Lepisosteus oculatus: one gene and its partner. The protein of the gene in region 2 interacts with the protein of the main gene of each other region in a biochemical or structural test. Links are inferred from orthologs where the notes say so. Each region holds a gene or a part of one and is shown on either strand. Other genes may lie near its edges.

Region 1 (7,718 bases), on a different chromosome or scaffold from region 2:
TTGCGTCAATGTGTGGATTGCTGGCCCATTCCGGGTGTGTCCTGCCTTCTGCCTGTTGCTCGCTGGGATAGGCTCCCCCGCAACCCCAGATAGGAAACAAAGCGGTCAGAAAATAGATGGACGGATGGATTAATCTTTGGTTTAGGTCACAAGGTCTGCTGTCTTTATGTGTGCAAGTGTGACTGTTGTGGTTCCGCACGGCCTCATGCCCTCTGCCACCCCATTCCGTCCTGCAACGCCTGGGGAGCGAACCCAGGGCTCCAGCATAACACAACAGGGAACCAGCCGCATGAGCTAAAGGAGACCTCCCCCAGCCCAGACGGCTGAGGTCCCCGCTACGCGCAGTGAGGGACGATGACGTCACCGTATCCGAACTAGGTCCGCTACACAAGCCTTTAGGGCCACCATGATGTTGGGTAAATAGACATTCCTTTTCTGCGCCTCTCACCTGAAGGGTGCCTTGGCCATGTTCATGTTTCAGAGCGAAGCACTACAGTTGCAAAAAGACCGGCCAAGCACATGTTGCAGGAGAGTGGGAACGGTGTGTTTTTCACCCATCCTACGGGAATGCCATTTGTTCCTCTGCCTACTAACCGGCTGCCAGGATCAGAAAATCGCCGAGATAGCTTTTTTTTTTTCCTCGCTATGTGTTCTGCAAACCAAACCCTGATCCTTTACAAACGAATCTGAAACTAAACGTGGACGCATTGATTCTTATGTCTCTGCCTTTGGTACTGCTGTGTCTGTGACACTCATATCACTGCGCTGTGGAAAGTACGTACAAAGCATTGCAGTGCTCCACTCACTTGAGGTTGCCATGGCTGCGCACTGCTATGGTAATAACTTAAGAGGAAGAGGTCTTTGTTGGTATCAGCGCTGCTCCTTTTCAGATTTTTTTAAAGACGGTCGTCTGAGTGGATGAATGCCCCTTTGCTTCGGTTTGACGGTAAAAATATAATGGCTCTCTAAAAGGGGCGACCTCTCTGAGAGCAAAATGGAAAAAAGGCCTCTCACCAGAGGGTGGCAGGAGTTCATGTTGGATCGTGGCAGCACAAATCGCCACCTCCTGGCAGCTGGCGAATCCGAACTTGAAGACTCACGAAATACGCACCCCACAACTTATTTTTATTATTTGACTGACACCTGTAGCCCACACGAACAAAGTTTATACAGCCTGGAATTTTACCTTGCTTACCTTGTGACATACTGTACCTGGCTTGAGGTTACCACACGATTGCCCCATCTAGAGTTTTTGCACCTCCAACAGCCCTAGCTGCCTACCAGCAGCCACATCACCCTGCAACTCACAACTGGCAGCCCACTGAAGCTCAGCAAGTGTGAGCCTGGTCAGTCCCTGGATGGGAGACCTCCTGGGAAAAACTAAAGTTGCTGCTGGAAGAGGTGTTAGTGGGGCCAGTAGGGGGTGCTCACCCTGTGGTCCATGTGGGTCCTAATGCCCCAGTATAGTGATGGGCACTATACTGTAAAAAAGCACCTTCCTTTGGATGAGACATAAAACTGAGGTCCTGACCCTCTGTGGTCATTAAAAATCTCAGGGTTTCTTGAAAACAGTAGGGGTATTACCCCAGTGTCCTGGCCAAATTCGCCATTGGCCTTTACCAATGACAGTCAGTTTGTGATTTTGAATTTTACCATTTCATTTTGCCACTGTCAAGAGGAGAACCTCCTGCCTCATCTAACAATAGGGAGATCAAAGGAGTTTCAGTCTTCATAACCCTCACCATGGCTGCCTATAAGACAGTTCTGACGTTTTTCTTCCTCCAAAGATGAAGAGTCTTACCAGTTAATCCACGTGGGCTAAATCATAATGAGTGTGGAAGGTTGGGAAAGTGTGCCTGCCATCTAAATCCTTTTGTCAAAATCTAGCATTTTATAAAGCACCATTTGAATCTTCCAAGATACAGAGTTTTGCATACAGAGTTCACTGAATAGGAGTCAAAGTTCTCTGTCAGGCAAAGCATTTCTAAATATGCTTATCTGTAATCAAAAGGGCCTCTGCCAGCAATATTATGAATGTAGTTTGGAAAGGGAATGCTTGGACTGATGTCAAGAGAACAGCAGCACATCTCACTGAGGTACATAGGGCTGACTGAGCCTTGCTCAGAATCATGAAGCCCCTAAAATGAACATTTTACACATCAAGCAGTGCTTACTACCAAGGAACCAGAGTTGTGATTCTTAGGAAGTTCTCTTTCTTTCTATCTCCTCTGAAGTCAGGAATAAAACTAACAGAAATGGAGGTTTATACAAGCAATACCTGCATATTAGAAAGGGGTTGGCAAACCTTTAATCATCCCTTTTTACGGTTGCCAAGAGACTTTTATTCCCATAAATCACTACAAAATGGATGTTCTGTTAAAAAAATTATGTTAGTCTTATTAAACAGAAAATCACAGTTTTCTCTACCACCTGTGCATACTGTTTGACAGGGACACTGGGGAACACAGGATGTCTTGCTGAATGGCTCACAATAAATGAAATCATAAAGCCCAATTAAACACCATTCTCATATACCAATAAAACATGAGTTATTAAGATTAATTTCATAGTGTTATTCATCTGTGTACTGTTCCTGCAGAGGAAATGGCAGCAAATCTGAAATCTGCAGCTTGGTTTCTTCAGATGTTCCTATAAGGAAGGCAATCACCATTTTGTTTTAAGCAACAAGTGCAGTGATTATTCTGGAGCTCTGTGCCTACAGACTGAGCTATCGTGACGCGTGGGTCAAGGGGAGAGCGTTTAATCAAACTGTTCTGCAATGTGATTATCAAAACCAACGGGACCTCCTGGGTCTCATTCTGAGGCTGTGCGTCACAGGCTTTTCAAACAGTTCAGTTCAACTTGTTTGCAAAAGTATTAGTTATCATACCTCCAACACGCATCTCACCCTTCCTCAGCTAAAGCTAAAGGCAGCTTTTAAATTGTAGCTTTTTGTTTAGACTACAAAATGTTTGGAGGACAATTGGATCTGTAATGGCAGCAACCTGATCTGAATCCAGCACTGTAAGAAACAGGATATTTAAAACATGCCTCATCGGTCCACTTCTTCTTACACCCCAGGTGCTCCTTTGTCGACGAGGAGTCGAAGGGCAGGTCTGGCGCACGTGAAAACAAGCTTTATCCTGTCCCCACACTGGTGTTTTGGGATTGGTCAAGATTCCTGCTCGGCCAACAGCTAGGAGTGTAATTTAGATCTCGAGCAGGGCTAATGATTAACGTCCGACTCGGAGCTGAGCACAGGTGAGGAAATATCAGATGACAGTTTTCCTTTATGGCATGGGAGGGCTCACGAGGGGGAGGGTGGGCGTCTAACAGCGTCTAATCCAGAGAGGGTGAAGCGCTGAATAAAAGTCAGTTGTGCTCAACTGCCATTGTGCTGCTGCAGGTGCCACCTTCTCCGCAGGAAAAAAAGTGCTGACGATATTCTCAGTTCGGCTGTGTCACACAATAACTCCACAGATCCTGGAACAAGCTATTAATCACACTACTGGAAATCCTCGTAGGCAGACCTTCAGACCATAGCAGAAATGCTTTAAGCCATGAGTTTTCAAACTGGGGAAGATTCTGGATCCTTGACTATTATTCTGTATAAACTGGTGGGGATGTCCCTGTAGGATTAGCACCGGAAATGACTCCCTCGGACTGGCGTAGAGTTTCTGTGAGACCAACTTTATTACAACTATAATACAAATGTATTGTTCCTATTATCTGTTATTTAGCATGATCATTTCTCACCAAACAGCTACAACGCGGCAAAGAAAATGTAAATATATTTTTGAAAGTTACCTCCTTGAGCGAAACTCCCTCAAACCACAGTGTTTATGATTAGGAAGTACTGTATTGTTTGTCACAGGACATTGGAGTCCCACCAAACTTACTGCACCCTGGTCTTGAGGCCAGATTTGGGATTTTACCTGCTACCATCCTTGTATTTCATGGAATCGTGAGAATATGACAGCTCCTTGCTTAAACGTCATTTGAAACCTACTTTCCGATAATTTAGGGTTTAAGAATTGTAATCCCAAATTTTGTATTCGAATGTCACCGGACACGTCCTCCTTAAATATCCGTCCGGAGGAAATGTTCAAATATCTTGAAACGCATCCCCCCCCGTTTTCGTTCTGAACAGGTATGCGATATAAATGATTATAGTATAAATACCACCGGCGGTCCACCCCTCTCACGTCTCCCCTCGCTCGACTGAGCGCCCTCTTATTTTGAATAAATATGGTACCGCTCATCTATTCATTCAAAGCCGGGGGAATGAAATACGCGAAGCTACAATCATAGGGGTGGGCATGGTCAGAGGGTCCACAGGGGGGCTTTTGGCTGGCTCCCCGCTTGCAAGAGATGAGTGCCGCCAGCCTCTGAGTGAGACACACTCATCCACCACGCCCGCTCCCGGGCCTCACTGATGCCGACTGTCACTACAGTAGTGCTACATTCAGCGGTGGTGGAGTAGGAGGAGGAGGAGGAGGAGGGGGGGTGCTGGATAACCATGGCAATGGTGACGTCTTCTCCCTTGCTCTAATTGGAGGAAACCCCGTGGCCCCAGCCGCAGCCTACAGGCCAGTCGAACTTGCCCATTTAAAGCCCGCCTTCTTCCGCGCGCTGCGGTGCTACTGGCGAGCATTTTTGAACTGTAACGGTCGAGCGGTGCGGGACTCACTCTCTCATTGGGGCTCGCGCTCGCCTGGCCCCGCCTCGGCTCTCGTGCTCGGTTGAGACTGGCGGCTGGGCTCCTTTCCTCTCTTCAGCCCTAAAGCGGATCAGCTCGGAGGAGCGGTACGGAGGTAAGCGGAGGTTTGGCGCTGCTTCCCTCGTATTTTAGGGGCGCAGTAAGGAGGGTTGTGCTGGGGGAAGCGACGTGAATGTGCCGTTTGTTGAAGGGCTTGCGTTTATTGAACCCGATAACCGTGTGGTATATCGGACCTGGCGTGTATGGCGGTTCGGGTTTGCCGCATCCATTTTGTCACACAAGGGGAGAAAAAAAAGACTGTCTCGGGAATTGGTTTTCGGCTCATAGGAGCCGCCATTTTATCTAAATCTGTGTTTAAACGCGGAGTTATTCGGATAACTGCCTGCGTGGTTCGTGAATGGGGTCGAAACGCTAAGGAGCAGCGGTGGCGGGGAGACCCGAGTGTCGTCTCGCTTTTTGAGCTGGGCGCTGACACAATGGCGAAATCGCCTCTTAAGACACGGGGGGAATTTCCTGGCCATTATTGCCAAATTGCCGGGGTGGGTAGCGGAGTACGATGTCGTGTCTCTCCGGGTGGTGCTCGCTGCTGCTGCTTGTTCCGAAAGCAAACCTTTGCCGAGCCCCGGGAGGGGGAGACTGACCGCCGCCCGTTTCCCTGCTCTTCAAGGGAGACGGGACCTGCGTGTGTGCGCGTTGGATACAGCCTCCCCGCCCCTGGGTCACGTTAGAAGTACTGGAGAGAGAGAGAGAGAAAAAAAAGATGGCAGGTCCTTTGGTGGTCTCTCGTCAGCCTGGAGACGTGCAGTCTCGATTCAGCCCGACGGGTTTCTTGACAACCGTACGATCGACGCGCACGGATTTGGGCTCGATGCTTGCGCGACGTGTGTGCGTGTAGCTTGCGTGCAGCTCAGCCTCAGTTGCCCACCTCTTTCCCGTTCGGCTCGCAGGCTTCCCACAGGACGTCGCCTGCACGACTGCTGTCTGCTCACCTGCTTGCCCCGCGTCCCCCCGTCCCCGGCCATCGACACCACCGACAGCGCTCAGGCTCTCCGGCGATCCCGGTTCCCCCCCCCCAGCCCGCAGCTGGTCACCCGGCCCGTCCTGAAACACTGCGCCTCGAAGAGAATATCCTGCCCTCAGCCCCACTCCCCCTCCCACACACGCACGATCGGAAGCGGACGCGATGGATAAAACGGAGCTGATCCAGAAGGCCAAGCTGGCGGAGCAGGCCGAGCGCTACGACGACATGGCCGCGTCCATGAAGGAGGTGACCGAGCAGGGGGCCGAGCTGTCCAACGAGGAGAGGAACCTGCTGTCCGTGGCCTACAAGAACGTGGTGGGTGCCCGCAGGTCCGCCTGGAGGGTCATCTCCAGCATCGAGCAGAAGACCGAGGGCAGCGACAAGAAGCTGCAGATGGTCAAGGAGTACCGGGAGAAGGTGGAGTCCGAGCTGCGGGAGATCTGCAACGATGTTCTGGTGAGACCCGCCGCCGCTGCCCGCTTTACCTTCAGATCACCTTCCCAGCTCCCAGCCGGGTCCCCGGACCCCGGGGGCCCGCTCGCAGGCGCGCCGCGGTGGGGTGAGGTCAGGTGATTATTAATAGGAATGTGTAGTGCAGCAAGAGGGGTGGGGTGAGCATGCAGTCCCGTCCTGGTTTCATTTCATTTCTCATCCGTGGCCCTGCTGGAGAAGGGCAGGGGGAGAACGCCCCCACAAGGTGGGAGTTCCCCCTGATCCTTCGGCGTGGGATGTGGAGAGAGGCTGGGGAAGACATGCAGTGGCTGGCAGGGGACCGAGGTGTTTGGTGAGGTCGTGTGTTTTGAGTAGAGCGATGCTGCCCTTAGTCCCAGTCCAGCAGAGAAGCTGCCAGTCCCGAGTTCTGGTCCCAGGGCCGTGCTGATCTGCAGCTGGGAGGCTGGGCTGTTGAGGGCGTCGTCGGCCCGTTGCAGCAGATCGCCTACCCAGGCCTCCCACAGATCAATACGTGATGCAGCAGTTTCGTTTGGCTGACCGACGCTGTGGGGATTGAGCAGCACGTTGATAGAGGAGCAGGACTGGAACGGGGCAGCAGTGAGCGAGGGCACCACTGGGTGGGCTACACAGGGGCCTGATGGCAGGTGTCCGAGCTCTGCATCCCGCTATTAGCACAGCAAGTCTTCTGGCCAAGAAATTCTATTGATGGGTCTGAGGAACTTTAAAACGGGTCAGATTTTATTTTAATTTGAATTGTTTTATGACTTGCTGTGGTGGTTTAGTTTAAAGGACGTTTTCATAGGTTAATTTTTCATATTTTTCTACCCTAGTCCCTTCAGCAGAGATTCACATCTTCAATAGAAATTACATGTGATAGGACTGTGCTTGTATTGTGAAGTGGGTGTATTGGGGTTGTTGGTATTTTAATTTGTATCCTTTGAGTTTTACTGTTGACGTATTAATTGTGCTTTAAGATTTTTTGTTAGATAATTGTAAGTATTGTACTCATCTGAATCCTCATTATATCGTCTGAAGTGTAATTCACTCCCTTTTCTTGAGCTGTACCAGGCCCTGGGTTCTACGTGTGGTATTAAAATGCACTTTTAATGCAATTAAATGGTGTTTGGTAAGCTACACTAAAATTATAGCTCAATGTTTTCAGTGGTAATATAGATTTTAAAGTGGGATAGGAAAAAAGTGGATCATACCTTAAATATCAGGGTGTGTACATCTTTCATACATGAAGGGCTTTGAAGTGTTACCTCAGGCGGGTACATTACACCGGTTTAGGATTATTATTAGGTTTGAAGTGGTAATGAACCATTTTTGTAAGGTTATATTTTTTTAATTAAAAAATTGGGAAGGGAAAAAAAAGTGCCCTTTAATGTTTAATATACAGAGTAACCGTTAAAATACATGTTGAAAACGTGGGATTTAAATTTCACATTTACATATTTGATTCATATCTCAAAACTTTATAAAGGCTAATTCTTCGTGACCTATCTAAGTTGACTACTGGCACTG
Region 2 (7,131 bases):
AAAATGACCAGGACATGGATTAAAAGTAAAATTAACAAACAATATCAAACTTAATATTTCTTTCTTGTTTCTTGAACACAATGCAACATCCAAAAATAATGGAGCACTTCATTTTTCTTCCTTCCCCCAAGCAAAACATATGCAAATGTTATATTGTGAGGCCAGGCATCTTTTGTTTTATACAATGGTGTGAAATTCTGATTCTTACATGTTCTATGGTTACACTTAAATGCCTCATTATATGATAGTATTTTGTTTAACAAGGATGCTTTCTGTAAGTTGAAAGGTCCAAACCTGAAAATGACACAGTGGAAATGATGGATTGTAAATTTCAGGTTAACGGTTTCAGAATTGAATGGATGGTCATATGTTTTAATGCTCAATTCAAATCTATCATAATGGTGAACAAATACAAATCTGAAAAGAAGTGGTACACAATTGCTCTTCACTGCAATTCTTATATTGATCTATTGTTACTCCTTTACACTTGGAGCCATGTTACATGGGTATTGGCACTTGCATATATTCGTATAACTCATGTAGGAGTATTAGAGATCATACAATATCTTGTTTGATAGGTGGGGCTTTGCTCAGTTTTGTATATGGGTTTCCTCTTCTATTCTCTCTGATTATGCCACATTCAGAAACATGTTTGAAAAGAAGAGTCTGTCTCCTTTATCAAACAAAAATTGATTAGTAGATTTCTGATGTCCTTACAACAAGTGGTCTGAACATTATGTACTGTAAGTGAACATTTGTGTATGGATGAAGGTTATCAAAAGGTTATTATTCCTCTGTGGAAGATATCTTCATGTTGGAAGCCCCAAAGCACAAATTATTAAGGGAGAACAAATTCACTTTAAAATTACATTTAATTTAAACCAGGACCAATAGAAACATAATACAGTGAGGGGCTTGCATTTGTCAAATCTGACATCAGAACAGCTGAGAGAAATGGAGAAGAATATGCACTGGGAGCTAAAACTAACACAAAGAGTTTTTTTTTTCACTACTGAAAGTCTGTTAATTGTAGACAATGAAAAAGGAACAACAAGTACTGGTATATTGACCAAATGTTTTCACTGAAGAGAGCTCAGCATCCCTTAGGCTCCATTTGGTTTTGAATAATCTTAACTCTCTGTAGAGTTAACTAATTGGCTGGACCTGATGACCAGGTCCATAAGTCTTTCAGGAAATAAAGAATGTGACAGGTACCCTTAACTGGGATATTTCAAATGACTCGTGTTCCCAGTGAAAAAATGCAGATGATGCATACATTCAGAGGAAAGGCTGAACACTGAACCAGAGACTTTATGCCAGCGACGTTTATATCTCTTTTTGCAAGGTTAGGAAAAAATAAAATCTACATTGGAAGGTCATGTTGACTGTTAATAAATATGTCCAGTATAACAAACTGAATCCACATGGATTTAGATAGGGTTGGTTTAATCTGAAAAATGTTAGATATACAGTATTTTAATAGGTTTGAGAGTATCAATAATTTCACCTGAAGAAGGCTCCACGGCCAAAACATTGTGTTTTTTCTTCTTTTTTTCAGCATGGAATAAACCTATTACTTGTTCCTTTACAGCCTAAGCATGCTGACACATCTACCCACCTGAACTAATTGAGTAATTATCATTCAGAGAGAGAAAGTGAGGGAAATAGGAAAGGCTCTGTGTGGAGGTGGCCACGCCCCTGGACTAATTGAGAGGTGTAGAAGAACAGTCAGTAAGAAAAGGGTCTCAGTGTGGGTCTAGATTTCAGGTTGGTAGGAAACAGAGTGAGAGTTCCAAAGGGAGGTTTCAGTGGCAATGGGCTGATTAAGTTAAGAGGCCTTTTGGGTCACAGTGACCTAGAGGCTGGAGAAAATACATCTTAGGCTCTAAGGTGATGTTCTTGCATTGAAATGGCAGGGTGGTGATTGTAATTTGCTGAACAGGTTGATGGTGCAACAGAAAGACTACAAGAGGACATGATCCAAATGCTCCATTCCATTGCCACTAAAGACTTTTGTAGTTGTTTGTTTATTTTTTTAGTCATGGATTTATGCACCTTGTTTTGTGCAGGGCTTATACATTTGAATTCAATGTTGTTGTTTTTTTGAAAATTGGGTGTAAAGTACAGTACTGAAGTCCCTGAAGTTTCCAAGGGTCAGATTGCAATCATTAGATGGCTGGAGTAAATGGATTAGGGATTGATTCGGTTTGGGTATTGAGAGAAAGAGTGGGAAATTGGGAGATTTATAGTGATTTGTTAGAAGGGAATGTTGGCTATAATAACCTGGAGTAATTAGCAGGGCAGGTGACTAGAAATGTGATTTAAGATGGTGAATGGAACTAGAGTATTGGGGTATAATTGCAAATTCTGGATTTTGTTTTTACTCTGACTGCTTTTTATATATTTCATTGCCTTTCAGCCAGGATGTTTTTGTATACTTTGAAACACAAAGGACAGTTGGATAATTCATGGGTCAAATTAATTGGAACTGTTGCCTGTTATTAGTCAAGGTTAAGTTGGGTTACATACAGTTCACCAACAAGCAGAAATATCTTGTGAGAGTATCTGTCCTGACATAGGTGGAGTGAGTCTAAGTGATCCTGTTGATTTTGGCATGGGGCTGACGGAACTATTCCCAATCTTTTTATAGCCAAGTGGCTGTTTAGGGACATTGAGCCATTGATAGTGGCGGTGGCCCCTATTACAGGTTAGAGAATCAACCTGGATTAGAGGCTTCATTGTGGGCTTCTCCCTTATGTTTGTTTTTATAATCTTTGCTACACCACCATAGATTAAGTAGGGGAACATGTCTAATTTCAGGGATATTAGATGACTTGTACAGTATTTTATCTTTGAGTCCAATGTGGTTTCTGTGTGGTGACATTATTACCCGTGCCTCTTTAGATTTTATTATAACTTGCATTTTTATATATAATTATATTACAGCTTCTGTTCTGGCTTTCTGCATCTATTATGGTCATTTTCTGGTTATTCCTTGACTTACCTGGGTTATGTTGATGGTGGTGGTGGTGGTGGTGGGGTTGGGATTGTTGATAATATTCTGGGTTTAAAGTTGATCCCAGAACTCGTTTGTTTAAGAGCGGGAGTAGGGGGGAAGGATTCAGACTTTTTCTGAGATCCAGGGCTTGATTATCAGTAGATGGCATAGTCAAGGATTAGTAAATATGGTAGGAATAAATAAATCTGACCTACAGTAGATGACTACTTTGAAACAAGTGCTTCTGAGAAGGAGTACATTTAGCATTGAAATTGGGGAAGCACTTTCCTAGAAGTGTTGGGGGGAGTCTGGAACAAACTGTACAATTGTGGAATTCTGGAATATGATTCAACAAGAACTAGATGTACAGACACTAAATGTATTGAATAGCAGCATTGATTTATTGTAGCAGCATCTCTTGGGTGAATACTGCATTTCAGCGGTGAATGAAGAGGATCCCACTCCTATGTTTACAACTCTTTAGGATGAAAAAGGCTATATGAATGCAGGGAGTTAAAAGCTTCTAGCACCCAAATAACCAAGATGGAATGGCTGATTGGTTTCTTCTCTTGGAACATTTCGTTACAATACAAACACTACAGTATTAAATGATGTAGCAAGTATTTATCCTTTGCTCTTTTAGTGTTTCATTTGTGTTTACTTCTATACCCTGCTAAAAACTTAGAACATTTAAGCAAAAAAAACGTATCGTAAAAATGCAACCTATTATATAAAGTCAGTAAACATGCATAATTAAGCTTATGCTCAGAACTAATAACCGCTTTACACAGGTATTCAAAAAAGATGTTAGTTTCTAGAAACCCGTTTAAAACTAACAAACGCCAATTATTTTGAGAAATAATCCTCTGAAATGTGGTATGAAAAAACGTAGGGACGTTCTTATATTTTGAGAAAATTGCTTTCAATGACCGTGTGATTTTGAGAAAACCAAGACATAAGCAATAAACACTCAAAGAGCACATTAATAACGCTGGTACAATAAAGTACACCACCTACTGCAACACTGCCTGATGTCTTCAGACACTGTAGGGATTAAGCTCCGCCTCGCACTCAAATGCAGGAGCGCGACACGTGATCCCCCTTGCCAAAATCCAGTATGGCGGAATCTGTCAGTGAGTGACTCCTTCGCTGGCGCACTCTCCAACGGGAATTAAATACATTACTTTTTTCAGACTGGAGTGACCGCCTCCCGGGGCAGGTAGGTGAGCATTGATTCAAAGTAGCGTTCTCCTCTTCAAGTGCCTCTGCTCACAGCAAGCACTGAGTGACAAGTTTGTATTAAAAAAAGCAAAACAATGTGTGCCTGTGGGTAGGTATGCAGTATCTTAACTGTGTTTTGTACCGTATTTAAGTTGGTCGCACTCACGTTCAACATTTTTTTTTTCTGAATCGCTACCGTTCTACCGAACATGAATGTTTGGGAGAATGGGTGGTATTTTAACGGTCGTTAATGAACATCGACCAATCTGTGTCAGGTAAGAGCCTCAGATAGTGGAAGATGGACAGAGACGCCGGCCTATAGGCGTCATGTTTGGGCGGTCTGGCGATTCATTCGCGTAATTGGCCGTCCGTCTGGCCTATGACAATACGAGTTGTGTTCCTGGTGGATCGAGAGGGCGTAACTGCTCAGATTTAATGATTGACACAGACCTTTGCCAATCAATGCTCGCAACCAAAAGGGGGGAAATCTGTAATAACCAGTCATATTAAGGATGATTTGAGTGGGCGGTTTTGAAAGTGTGCATCGGTATTTTTTTGTGAATGAGGGTAGGTTGTTTTTAATCTGCTGTCCCTCCCAGATTGTAAGGATCAGGGTACAATAATATTTTTGTGCGTCTGTACAGCAACCAGGTAGTTACAATTTGGTGCACATACAGTATAATAACCTCCTTGATGTGTATCATTGTTGCTTTAAGACGTTGTCTTATGGAGAAAAAAAAGGCGTTTTAAGGTCTATTAATCATTTGGAAAGTGTCCTTATTTTCAATAAGATTATTAAATTGAAATCTTATTATGTATACAGTACAGTTTTTTCGAATTCTTCACTTTACATTGAGAATACAAGGCGTTTATCAACCGTAAAGTAAGGGGAGTTTTTACATGGAATTTGGGCTGTTTTCAGTGTACTGCTGGCTGTACTGAAATGATCACGCACCGCCAGACTGTAGTCTTAACAAAAGCGTTACAGTGATGTGCACCAACGGAAAAGTATGATTTCATGAATCCCTTCATGTCTGTGGTATGCATTAAGAAATGGCAGGTACCTTTTCGTGTAACGGTAACCCATGCGAAGGACAATGTTGGCTGTACACAGCAACTGTGGAAATCTGTAGAAAAATTCTGTAACTATGCGCATCGTAGGACGTGCCAAAACTTACAATAAGGTAGCCAGCAGCATGTTGCTGTCTCTCGGCTCTAGAATCACGTTACTGAGCACGGATCGCAGACTACAGTTTACGAATGAATGAAAGTTTGATTGATACTCGTGGGCTAAGAACACTTCAGTTCTTTGTATTCAGCCCTCTTAATTTTTTATTTGGGCGATTTGCTTTGAGATGCGCAGTACATTGGTAAATAAAGTGTATTTATACGTGGCCCATGGGGATGACCCGTAACTTTATTTCGTCAATGTTGAAATGACAAGTATATGTTAAATATTTCTCTCCCGACATTTCTGAAAAGTAAGGAGCAAATAAGATTTACTGCCCTTCTCATTACACAGGAGCTGCAACAGTACAGCAAAAAGTCCCGTTTTCATCGACCGTCTGCAGAATGACTGTAACATCTTGAGGACAGTGTTTTGTGGTGTGGGTGTTTGATTCGGTGTTGGCCCAGAGAAAAAAAAAACAAATATTGAGGAAATCCTAACTTTTACATATCGAGTCCTGGTCCTGGAGGGCCATTGTGTCTGCGTTTTTTCTAGGTGTCTTTATTGCAGTCCCATGTCAAAAACTGAGAAAAGCCCGCTCTGTTGAACCAGGATTAAATGTGACTGTTCTTGGGGAAAATAGGCTTCTACAAATTACTGCTGTAAATTTATTTTAATCACAGTTGTTTTTTTTAAATAAACAATTACTCCACTTCGTTTAAAATGTGGTTTGAATTAACCATCGCCTTCCTGTCCTTTATTCTGAAAAAGATAGCTCCAACACTGAAAGTCACTTCTTTTAAGTAGAGTTCACCATGTTCAAATAAATTATGCTGTCAGAGCACTGAAAGTGTGTTAATCGATTTGCACAGTTATCTCGGCAGGTCTTTCAACGAATGGCATGCCAACACAAAACTTTTATTTATAAAAGTCACAAGCTTGTTCTCACAGATTGGATATGCTGTTCCGATTGGATGTCGTAAAGCTGGTTTTGAAGTATATAAAAAACAGCCTCATGAAAGCTCGTTTTCTTTGTGCGTTGACATCCAAAGACAACCAAGAACAGGTGAGAAAAGCAACGGTATAGTCAGTGGAGAATGTCGCACCGTATAGGAGAATTGAGCTGTTAAATGTTTTATTGTGTGATACTGTGGCAAAGATCTCAGCTGTATAATGACTGGCTATGGATTTAACGCCAGCCTTGTTTGGAGTCCAGAGTACTTGTTACTCATGAATTCCAGGCACCACACAAATGTTTTATATCCCTTACACAGCTTGGCACAAGGGTATGACTTTAAATAATGACTTCATTTTGGGAATAGGTGATTTACTTTTTATAGTTTAGGATAACAATTGAAACCTATTTGAGGATATTGCGGATCAATTTTACGTTCAGGCAGATAATGAACATTTACTGCTGTTTAATAATAGACTCTAATGTCTGCTGTAGTGTGTCTCACATCCTATCAGAAGTTTGGGCTTATGCCAGTCTAGCACAGTAAACATTGGGGTGGGGTGGGGGGTACGGGGACATTTAAAACAAAATTAGCTAAAAAAAAACAAGACACTGGAGAATAACAGCCTTTTGGTTTTAGAATGTGATCTGTATGGTTAGAAAAACCAGGGGCCTTTTGCTGTCTCTCTCTTTTTTTTAATGAATTAGTATACATGTAACTCAATTAAAAGCTGGTACCATATTGAACAATTCCTAAAGCATTTTTACACAGACTTTGTGTATTTTGTT

What was found.
Region 1: the proteins of hdac4 (region 2) and 14-3-3 protein theta are reported together in a solved structure, tested with the Homo sapiens proteins (2 studies listed by BioGRID, with this or other methods). The link is inferred for Lepisosteus oculatus from reciprocal best matches to the Homo sapiens genes HDAC4 and YWHAQ.

The regions. Positions count from the first base shown.
Region 1 is NC_090697.1:11,938,716-11,946,433, forward strand, and holds the start of 14-3-3 protein theta, read left to right. Parts: upstream 1-4,706; 5' UTR 4,707-4,814; intron 4,815-5,667; 5' UTR 5,668-5,903; coding exon 5,904-6,197; intron 6,198-7,718. UniProt on the Homo sapiens protein: Adapter protein implicated in the regulation of a large spectrum of both general and specialized signaling pathways. Binds to a large number of partners, usually by recognition of a phosphoserine or phosphothreonine motif.
Region 2 is NC_090707.1:21,979,225-21,986,355, reverse strand, and holds the start of hdac4 (histone deacetylase 4), read left to right. Parts: upstream 1-4,123; 5' UTR 4,124-4,221; intron 4,222-7,131. UniProt on the Homo sapiens protein: Responsible for the deacetylation of lysine residues on the N-terminal part of the core histones (H2A, H2B, H3 and H4).